Drosophila melanogaster: one gene and its partners. The protein of the gene in region 3 interacts with the protein of the main gene of each other region in a pairwise test. Each region holds a gene or a part of one and is shown on either strand. Other genes may lie near its edges.

Region 1 (3,762 bases), on a different chromosome or scaffold from region 3:
GCCTTTGTGGCTGCGTTTCTTCCCTAACAAAGTCGGAGATGAAAAGCGAAAACTATGCAACGTGTTCAACATCGACAGTTTGACATCTCAAAAGTCGCATGCCTCACCAACCCCCTTTAGCACACTGAGAAAAATATTGCACAATTTTAGATTTAATGGATTTATAATTACAGATACTGCTGAGTATAGCCTTCAATAATAATTTCATTTTATTTGATATCCTGTGACCATATTCCGTTTCTAATGGCCAATTACTCATTTGTGATCGATAACTGTGAGATACATGTACCTTTTTCCAGCAAGTTCAACTGTTTTTAACGCGAAAACTCATTTCAATAACAATTGCAGCGACCCAAAAAAGGCCAAAGGAAAAACTGCAACAGCAGAGCTCAATTTGCTGGCATGTCCAGTCTTTTGCTAATTGCTTTGCAGCTGCAAGGGGGCGGAGGCCACGCCCACACGTGCCCCGCAGACCCATTGCCCATATGAACAAATAGTATATATCCATATATATGTATGCATATAGCTATGGTTCATGTTGACCCGCGACCAAGCCGGACAAAAGTCATAAACCCAGTTACCGTTAGCTGCGTAATTTATGGAAATGACTTTGTCTAATTAGCAAAGTCGAGGAAAAACAAGAAAACCAACAACAAACTCCACCCCACTTTCCAGTGGCGTTAACCATAATAACATTTGTATAGACACTATGATACGCAGAAAGGCACGATCGCTTTCCACGGATCGTGCCCCAAACTTCGATTTCTGATTGCTCACCTGCCAAACGATATGTGTGAGAATGCAGAATGCACGTTGGGGCAAACAAAAAAAAAACGAAACTCATTTAGCCATATGTATGCATAATTGTTAGCCAAACTAGTCTAAACAATGGAAAGTATTGATACATCTATTTTTGATTTGTGTCGTTTTCCGCTTTGTCACATTATTTACACTAATTTTTGATGGCGATAACGTCACAAGATTTACATATTTATTTTGGTTGCATTCATGTCAGCAATAATGTTGGGCTATAAAATGTTCATTTCGATAGTGAAGAAAAATGGTTATATAAAATATATATATTTTAAACTTATCTAAAAGAGTAAAAATAAATTACAAGATTTCCGCAGAACAATCTTTGTTTACGCAAAAACGAAGCAATGAATTAATCCTTTATCAGATCATTGTTGAAAGAAATAAAATTTATTGAGCAATTTATTGCCATTTCGAAATAAATAATTTGCATTGAAGAAAACACGGAAACAAATTACACTGTCTTAAACACTTTTTATCAAGGTGCAAATTACCGTAGAAAATTACCAAGAAAATTATCACAAATTGTACATTGAAAACTACTCAGAATTATTGACAATTATTTAATAAAGACATTGTCTTGAAGTTCTCACGATAATTAATTCTTAGACCATTTATGGCATTGTTTGGCAGCCAAAGCGCATATGTAAATGGTAAGCCAACTTAGTTAGCCGCTCCACAAAAATGCAAATTACGTCCATAAGTGACATGTAACTCCTAGACAGGATAGGCAATGCGATTTTGAGCAAGATTAATGCACTAGGAAATGTCGCACCGCGCTTTGACACACATTCAAATCATAAGTAATTGCAATTAATTAAAGCTATTTGCATGTGACTTACACACGGCGAACAAATTCCAACTGACCCAGCCAGTGTTCAGAGAAAAACAGAGATAATCTTGCCCAGATTTAAAATTCCTCTTTATAGAGATGACCCGAAACACGCGCGAATAAATCAAAGCACAATTATGCCAAATTTGCAATCACAAACAATAAATTGAATTGAGTTTTCGCGCTGACATTAAGCAGATACGCGGCACTGTGCCTTTTTTGTACAATAAAATATTTTAATGGCCGTGAATGGGCCTTTTCGAAACATACTATATATATATATTTGTGAAATATATACGGCTCTTGTGATTTTCCGGATTCTGCGTTAGCCGCTTCCGTATGCCAGGCACAAAAACCGAGCGAACTGGCTGCGATCTTTGAGATACAAATTTCCAGCTGGCGCGGCGGAGCTAACGAAATCCAAACCGATCGCTTAGAAGTCCCGAGACGAACTGAAAATGCACAGCCGAAACCGAAAGTCCAGTTAACGATCGGCGATCGACGGCGCTGCCAGTGCAGTCGGAAAGTGGAGCCAAAAGTATATAGATTGTATACTCTGAACACTCCGAACATCGGTAAATATTTAGTTATTTTCTTAAACATTGATTCATTCATATATCAGTAGCACACTTTACTTTTTGTTTACTTCTTTGGAATCGGGATAACTGTAGATGCCGTAGAAAATACGTCGAGTTTTCTGAAATCTACATATATATTTGTTTTTAAAAATATCTTTACCTGATATTTTAGCAAAATTTTGAAAAGGGTAAATTTCTCTAAAATAAGAAGCCACACAAACTTCTACAAATATGTAAGATTTTACTACTCAATTTATCTTGCTAAATATCAGTGGAATTTTAATATGTTTCTCAGGTGTATTCTTATTAGTCTGTATATAATCTGTATATATTTTTTTACAGCTAGAAATAGCCAGCTGGTCTGCACTGTCAGACCAGTCGAAGCCCATGTTCGGTGCACATTGGCTGGTTCGCTCAAACGAAATTGGACCGATGGGGGCACAAGTTGGCTTCCTTTGTTCGATGCAACTGTGGAGCGGATGAATTCGCCAGGCGGAAGAACTCTTTGTGGTGGGGCTGAGGGGCGCAGTGGTGGGTGGTGGGCGGCGCAGTGGGCAGGTATGCCCTCGGCTGGTCGTTGGCTGGTTTTTGAGTGCGTTACAGCTGTTTTGTTTATAGGAGGATCATCTCTGCACTCTCTGCACAGTTCAAACTATTTGGAAGTTGCGGTTTGTGCTTTTTATGGTCCGCCGTTGTTGTTCTTGCGGCCACGGCTGCTTTTGTTGCATCTTCTTCGGTCGGTGGCAAGTTGTTAAGTTAAATATTTACCCACCGCTGCCGGGCAGCCAGTTTAGGCCACGGCTCGCTGATCTTTCACATCGAGAATCCGAGTCCCAGAGCGAAGAAGAACTCGTTTCCAGCCCTTCTGTCCATATCGGGTGCTGGATCTGTCGTTGTCATCATAAGAGTGCTACTGTCAACCACACTCGAAAAATGCCACTAAGTCTAGATTTAATCAAAAATTCATGGGTTAAACATGATAAAGGTTTTAAATGTACTTTAATTCATGTCCTAAGTAAGTCTGTTATATTATATATGTACAGTACTTTCCTTAAGCATAATCACTTTTGTATATAACTTTTTTGATTGTGCTAGATACAATAGTTTCGCCAAGTGCATTGCCACATACTATTAGCCACTGGCAACAGAATAGCTGCCCACTGTCTAAATGCTGAGCACATTGGACATGTCAAAAGGATTTGCGCCTGCGCTGTGGAACATCCAGCATTCAGCATTCGTCCGTGCGAATCCATCCCATAAACTGGTTGCACATTCCCTGGCCAACAGAATGGTCATAAATCGAACAATGTGCCAGCCATTGACAGTTCGCTTAGCTGCACAAAGGTACTACGGTCTTCTCTTAATATTATGTGTGTGTTGCTTCGGTTTCCTCGCCGCCGACAATCACAATTTATTGGGCTATTAGCTGCCACTTGAGTGGGGACTTTGGGTTTGGGGAACACCCACGCCGCGTTCCCAAATCGAATTCAAATAAAGCATAAAAGCATAAGAGCTGAGATAACAAAGCCGGGTACCCCG
Region 2 (3,762 bases), on a different chromosome or scaffold from region 3:
TTATTGCCGCGCATTTGCTGCAATTATCAAGTCATCAACGTTGCATTGTCATCAATATATAATTTATATTGCACAAAAAGGGCAGCAAAAAATGTGGAAAATATAGAAATGTAATGCAGCTGCGACAGTTTTTCAAGAGGTGGGTAATAAAGCAAGTGAATATTACTAAGCAATCGATTACATGACTCTTTACCAAAGCCAATGAAATATGTTTATATATTTTCCTAACTGCTTTACGTGTTTCTAGAAATATATAGAAATATCAACTACATTTCAATTTTCTTGCTAGCACACTAACCTACTAATTTGCTTTTGTTCTTCATCAAGTCTCAAGTATTCAAAGCCAATTTGCTACACATATATTTTTCTGGCAATGCATTTTGTTTCTGCTCTTATGTGTGATTTTATCGAGTTCTATTTCGATTTTGAGTGTACTTTCCTAATCTTGTATCTGAAATCTGAATTAAAAAATTCACATAAATAATACATAAATGTGATAATTGGCTCTTCGTCACAGCTTGATTATTTTCAATCATTTATCAAGCCTTTCATATTTTAATCCTGGATCGTAAATATTTATAGTTAAATCAGCAGACAAGCCCGTAACTTGGGATAAACATCAACATGCTAGATATGCCAGAGTTAAAATCTTTTCAAACTTTGACTGGCCAATTTATTAGTCTCAATCGAAAGAATGGAATATTGAATATGTTAATAGAGTGAAACTTGTTTGTAGTAAGGAGCTGAATATGAATTCAAGAATCATAAGAAACATACGTTCATGAATGAAGCGATGGGACTCAAATGAAGATTGGTTTTTAAGCTCGTTTCATGCAAACTAACGATATCAAGATACTTATTGTTCTGAAACCCAATCGAAAATGAAGCCCTAAAATGCATTGGCTATTTTTGAACAGCTCTTGAGTCTAGTTTGCGATGTAGGCCTGATATTTTAGTGCGGGAATTACTTTACTCACTCAGACTGCGTTCCGAAGGTTCGCGGCTGCTTGGGGCGTTTCCGCCGCGCGCCATAATCGCCGCAATTGAGAAATCCGTGGCGAAGGAAATGTTGTGCTGATTGTGATTGTGATTATGATGGTTGTTCAGCGGATGGTGATGATGATGGTTCTGATGATGATGATGATGGCTGCTGCCGTTGGCTATGTTCGCCGCTGCCGCCGCCGCTGCCGAAACAATCTGCTGCTGCAGCTTCGACTTGAAGTTCTGCGTCTGCGACGGCGAAGGCGTTTGCTGCGGTTTCGTATTCGCCGGCTGATTGCTCAAAAGCATTTTCGGGCCGAGACCAATTGGTAATGCTGCTGCACGGATTTTAGCCAATTCTTGCCAAATATATGCTCTCAAAGGTTTCGGACTTTCTTTCCCGCTTTTGTTGGTATTTTCTTTATCGTTTGCCTATTTGTTGCCCATTATTTGATATGTTTGTATTTGCATTAGTTCTACTATTTTGGGACTTGTTTGTTTAATGCTCTTTAAAATATTATATTCGGATTTAAACTGAATTCTTTACAATTTTCTTCAACATATTTGTTGATTTTTTGCCGGCTTTTGCTTTTAATAATTTAAACTGCTTTATCACACAGAGTTGCTTTGCTTCCTTTTTATATATGTATGTATGTTATTATTCTTGTGCCGTTTGATTTTTTATTAAATAATAAAATATTATAAAATTTGTCTAATTTTTTTTTGCAAATAATGTGTATTATTTTTTCCAACGTTTTACGACACACTTTGCGACTTGACGACTTTACGCCCGTATTTGCGGTCTCCGGTTTTTCGTGCTATTTATCGTAATTTGCGTATTCTCGAGTAGGAAACGGGAAATTCCGGAGCGCCGTCGCTGCTTCACAGTCACGCAGCTGACCATTGAATGAATCCCAATTCGCTTTTCGCCATGTAAACGCCAAAAGCGCCAAAGCCAAAGCCAACAAAACCAACAAAAAAACGCAACGCAAAAATCAACAACAAATACGAGGACGCCGACAGCGAAGCCAACTGCGACGTCGACTGACCCCCCAAAACAGAAACAACAACAGCTGATGTGTCTTACGGCGAAAGGTTTTCAACACCACGTAACGCGACGTAAGGAAACATTTCCAGAGAACATGGCCCGAAACTTTCCTTACGTGACGTAGGCAAACCGCCAGTTTAAACCGCAAAAGAAATATGGGAAAAAATACGGTTTTCAATTAGACTGGTGTGAGCGAGATGGCCACACATGCAGTGCATTCCCATGCTGCTTGCAGCGACGTCGGCGTCGAGGCATAACTCATTTCCATTTTCCAATTCGAACACACATTCCCATGCACTCAAAACAATACCAATTCATAAGCTAGCCGCGTGTTAGAGCGAGACAACTCTATATAGCCGTATTTGAGTGAGAGCCTTTTGTTGCTGCCATCTCACTCGTGCCGCTAGAAGCAAGGGAGCGCGAAAGAGAGCGCGCTGAGGAGTTCATAAATTCGTCATTTTGTTTTTGGCTGTTGACAGTTCTTTGCTTCATTGTTGTTGTTGCTATGGTGAGTGTGAGTGGATTTTGTTGGTCGGGGTTGGGGGTGTGTTTCACCGCTTTTCGTCGACTATTTACAATTATTCTCAACTCGGTCCGATTCCATTCCGTTTCTCATTGGCTATTCACCACAGCGCACTGAGTTGAGTGGAAAAGCGAGTGAGTTTCGTTCTAGTTACGTTTACTGTATAAATTGAGAATATTGAAAAATTCTTTTAATAATATTTAATTTCATGGTATCTCTGAAATTAATATTATTGTTCTTGATTACATATTTTTTAAGTCTTAAATAAACGATTTTATATTAAGAACTAACCTATAACATTGAAATGAATGTTTTATAAACATAACCTTATAAAGCATATTTAAACATGGTAGGGAAATCTATAAAATTCAGGAGAGGAAATTAATGTAAAAAATGAACAAAGGGGTTATCCCGCATTTGCCATCATTTTATTGTTTGCCAGCATTTTATGTAAAATATTTCGAAATGTTTTCTGTTTCCACATTTTTCTCATTTTATTCAAAAAAATTGTACAATTTTGAGCTATGAAAAATGTATTGAATTGTTTCGTTACAAGTTGTATTTTCACCAAATTCCAAGAAAAATATATTTATGTATTTGTATTCTTGTAATTATTCATTCCCTTTAAATGTCCTTTAAACATCCTAACCATCACCCTATAATTTTCCAGACCGTCAAGAGAAAAAACAAAAAGTCCTGCGACAGGACTTATCTGAGAAAGTGTCTCGTGTGCTGGGTCCTCCAATTGAAAAATCATAATTGAATATCTGGGTTCCTGGCACTCCTCCCTTTTGTCCGCCCACCGGCGTATGTAAATGTTTTTAATTTAAATGTTTGCTCAAAGGAAACAACAAAAGATGGTTGGAAAAAAAATGCGACTATGGCGTGTGAACGCAGCAGAAAATTATAGACCCATGGAAAAGGGAGGAAACTGGTGGGGTGAGGGGAAGGGGCTCTGGTGGTGCCACCATCTTGTTTCCCTCCGTCAGACTTTTTTCACAATTCGTCAGCTGCGCCCTTCGTCCTCCTAGGATGATGTCCTCTTTTCCCAGCACTGCGAGAAAAGTTGAATAATTTCGCTACATTATCGAAAGTGTAAACTATTTAAATTTTATGTCTTGTATGTTCTGGTTACAATACATTTATCTTAAAATTTAGTTTTGGTAACTTTTATATTAAAGTTTACAACATATTGATATGAATGTGTTTA
Region 3 (2,829 bases):
ACCTTAAGAAAAATTCAATTAAAACTAAACTTTCTGGGAATCCCTGGAATTGCGACTGTAAGTCGAGATCAGTCCTTTCCATTTTGAGAGATCACGAACCCCTTGAGTATGACGTCACGTTGAAACGTTGCAATATATCTCCAACGGATTGTCCAGATGTTTGTGTCTGCTGCTTGGATAACTTGACATGGCCATCATTTATTGTCGATTGCAGAGGAGAAGGACTTCTACAGATGCCTTCACTTTCAAGCAGGGTTACCTATGTGGACCTAAGGAATAACAACCTTACGGCCCTGTCACAGAAGAATCGTTCTTCTATCGAGAACAGATCGTTAAAGCTGCATTTGCTTGACAATCCCTGGTCTTGTTCTTGCAACGATATAGAAAAGATAAATTTCATGAAGAGTGTGTCTTCAAGTATAGTAGACTTCACTGAGATAAAGTGCAGTAATGGTGAGAAGCTAGTCTCGATTAATCAGCATATTGTGTGTCCATCTGACCTCTTTTATTATTTGGCACTCGCGATCTCCCTAGTGGCCACGATCATTGCCTTAAACTTTTTGATATGGTTCAGACAACCGGTCCTGGTCTGGTTCTATGAGCACGGTGTGTGTCTCAGTCTGTCAGCCAAGCGGGAACTTGATAAGGACAAAAGGTTCGATGCCTTTCTGGCGTTTACCCATAAGGACGAGGCTCTGCTGGAGGAGTTCGTGGATAGGCTGGAACGTGGTAGGCCCAGGTTCCAACTCTGCTTCTACCTGCGAGACTGGCTGGCGGGCGAATCTATTCCCGATTGCATTGGTCAATCTATAAAGGACTCGCGGCGCATTATTGTCCTCATGACAGAGAACTTTATGAATTCCACTTGGGGTCGCCTCGAGTTCCGACTGGCCCTCCACGCCACCTCACGCGATCGGTGCAAGCGTCTGATAGTGGTGCTCTATCCAAACGTGAAGAACTTCGACAGTCTGGATAGCGAGCTAAGGACCTACATGGCATTTAACACCTATCTGGAGAGAAGCCATCCGAACTTTTGGAACAAGCTGATTTACTCGATGCCGCTACTACCAAGCTACGTTGACTAGGACATTACATTATTAATTTCAATAAGAAACAAAAATATATAATTTGTTGTCTCCCACACAGTTTATTTTTTGAGATTTACATAGTTCCCGGAAGTATTCCGACAGGTTTCCGGGTCAACTGGTTTAGCAGCAAGGACCGCAACCGCAAAAACTGCTGGTGCCGCCGCAGCAAGGTCCACATCCTCCGCAAGGACCACAGCAGGGGCCACACCCACCACAGCAGGGGCCACATCCACCACAGGGTCCGCATCCGCCGCAGGGGCCACAGCAGGGGCCCTGATAAATCATATTAAAAGTATTCACTCGACTTACGAGACCGATAAATACATACCCCAACCAAAACGTAATTCGGGTTGACGTACATGTACATGATTTTGTTTCTTAAAAGATATTTCCCAACCGGAATCGAAAGGAACCGAAAATTTAGGTGTTAACTATTGAAGGTGGAACGGAGAACTGACTGAATGTGATCCAAATTAGCCGAAGCTTCATTTGACAGCAGTCATGAGAATTTCAAGGCTAATATGATCCGACAAATTATATTCATTATTATTATTATATTCTGGTATCCCAAAACCCATAATCTAGTTAGCTATGGATATTTTCGACAGTTGTCAAATTCATATACCAACTTGTGAGTCAGGTTTCCATCATTCTTATTTTGGTTCTCGGCCTGTAATCATCGAAATATTTTTTCGTCCTAAGTTATTTCTTTGTTAGGTTCAAAGTGAGTATTTCTCAAAGTGTAAGCATGCGAAGTTTTAACAAAATTTTTCTTAGAACTTTACGGAACCATCATGTGTTGCGGACCCCTTGGATTCTGCGGACCCTGTAGCCCGTGCGGCGGTCCTTGCGGACCTTGCGGACCCTGTGGTCCTTGCGGTTCCTGCTGTAGTCCTTGTGGATCTTGCTGTGCGCCTTGCGGCCCTTGCGGTCCTTGCGGTCCTTGCTGCGGGGGCTGTGGTCCATGCGGGCCTTGTGGACCTTGCTGTGGACCTTGTAGGCCATATTGCGGGTGCTGAACAACAACCACAACATGTAAAATATCTTTTTCCTGTGAACCACAAAGTGGAACTTAGGACTGAATGCGGATAAACTCTTCTTAGCTCGCGGGCCTAGTCAATAAAATAAGAATTTCAAAATACCTTTTCCGATGGTTTTTCTCTTCTAAATGGTGCAACCTTTGTCTTAGCTATGGATACCAAATGCGTGACAATAATAATTTATGTAATATAATTGCGAAAATTAAAATTGTCAATTCTTGGTGGATTGCGATCGTTAGAGGGGGCGGAGGAACATCCTACGTTCATATCGACTAGGCTTGTGATCCAGCTCAAGAATAAATAACCTTTTCTTCTATTCACTATAGCATAGCTATTACTCTACGAGTGGCGGGTATAAAACCTGCAACCGTGAATTTAAACCTCATTCAATAATAGTATTTGTCTGCAAACGGACAAATGTCCGATAACAATAATTCTATAACAATAATAACTATTTTTAACCATCAACCGCTGTACATAAACATAATTCGAATTCATAGTAGGCTATGGAAATCGTTCTTGACCTGTCAGACCCACCTAACCTTGTAAGTTCGGAAAATATATCATTCTCATCTCGACCCTTGTGCTGCTCGCATCAAAATTTTGTTGTTTTGTCCCAAATACTTGTTTTTTTTTTTTGGCTTCTAAAGACCGTTGGTAAAAATGTTTATTGTAAAGTTAAAATAGTATACATATTTATT

Evidence for each region.
Region 1: the proteins of Mst84Db (region 3) and slow interact in a two-hybrid assay, tested with the Drosophila melanogaster proteins (one large-scale study listed by BioGRID).
Region 2: the proteins of Mst84Db (region 3) and H15 interact in a two-hybrid assay, tested with the Drosophila melanogaster proteins (one large-scale study listed by BioGRID).

The regions. Positions count from the first base shown.
Region 1 is NT_037436.4:4,382,781-4,386,542, reverse strand, and holds the start of slow (slowdown), read right to left. Parts: upstream 2,102-3,762; 5' UTR 1,916-2,101; exon of another isoform or gene 1,656-1,915; intron 1-1,655.
Region 2 is NT_033779.5:5,402,408-5,406,169, reverse strand, and holds the start of H15 (H15), read right to left. Parts: upstream 1,891-3,762; 5' UTR 1,291-1,890; coding exon 978-1,290; intron 1-977.
Region 3 is NT_033777.3:7,364,559-7,367,387, reverse strand, and holds Mst84Db (Male-specific RNA 84Db), read left to right. Parts: upstream 1-1,760; 5' UTR 1,761-1,812; intron 1,813-1,865; 5' UTR 1,866-1,882; coding exon 1,883-2,107; 3' UTR 2,108-2,228; downstream 2,229-2,829. Other genes in the region: Mst84Da (Male-specific RNA 84Da), read right to left, coding at 1,209-1,361, 1,417-1,455.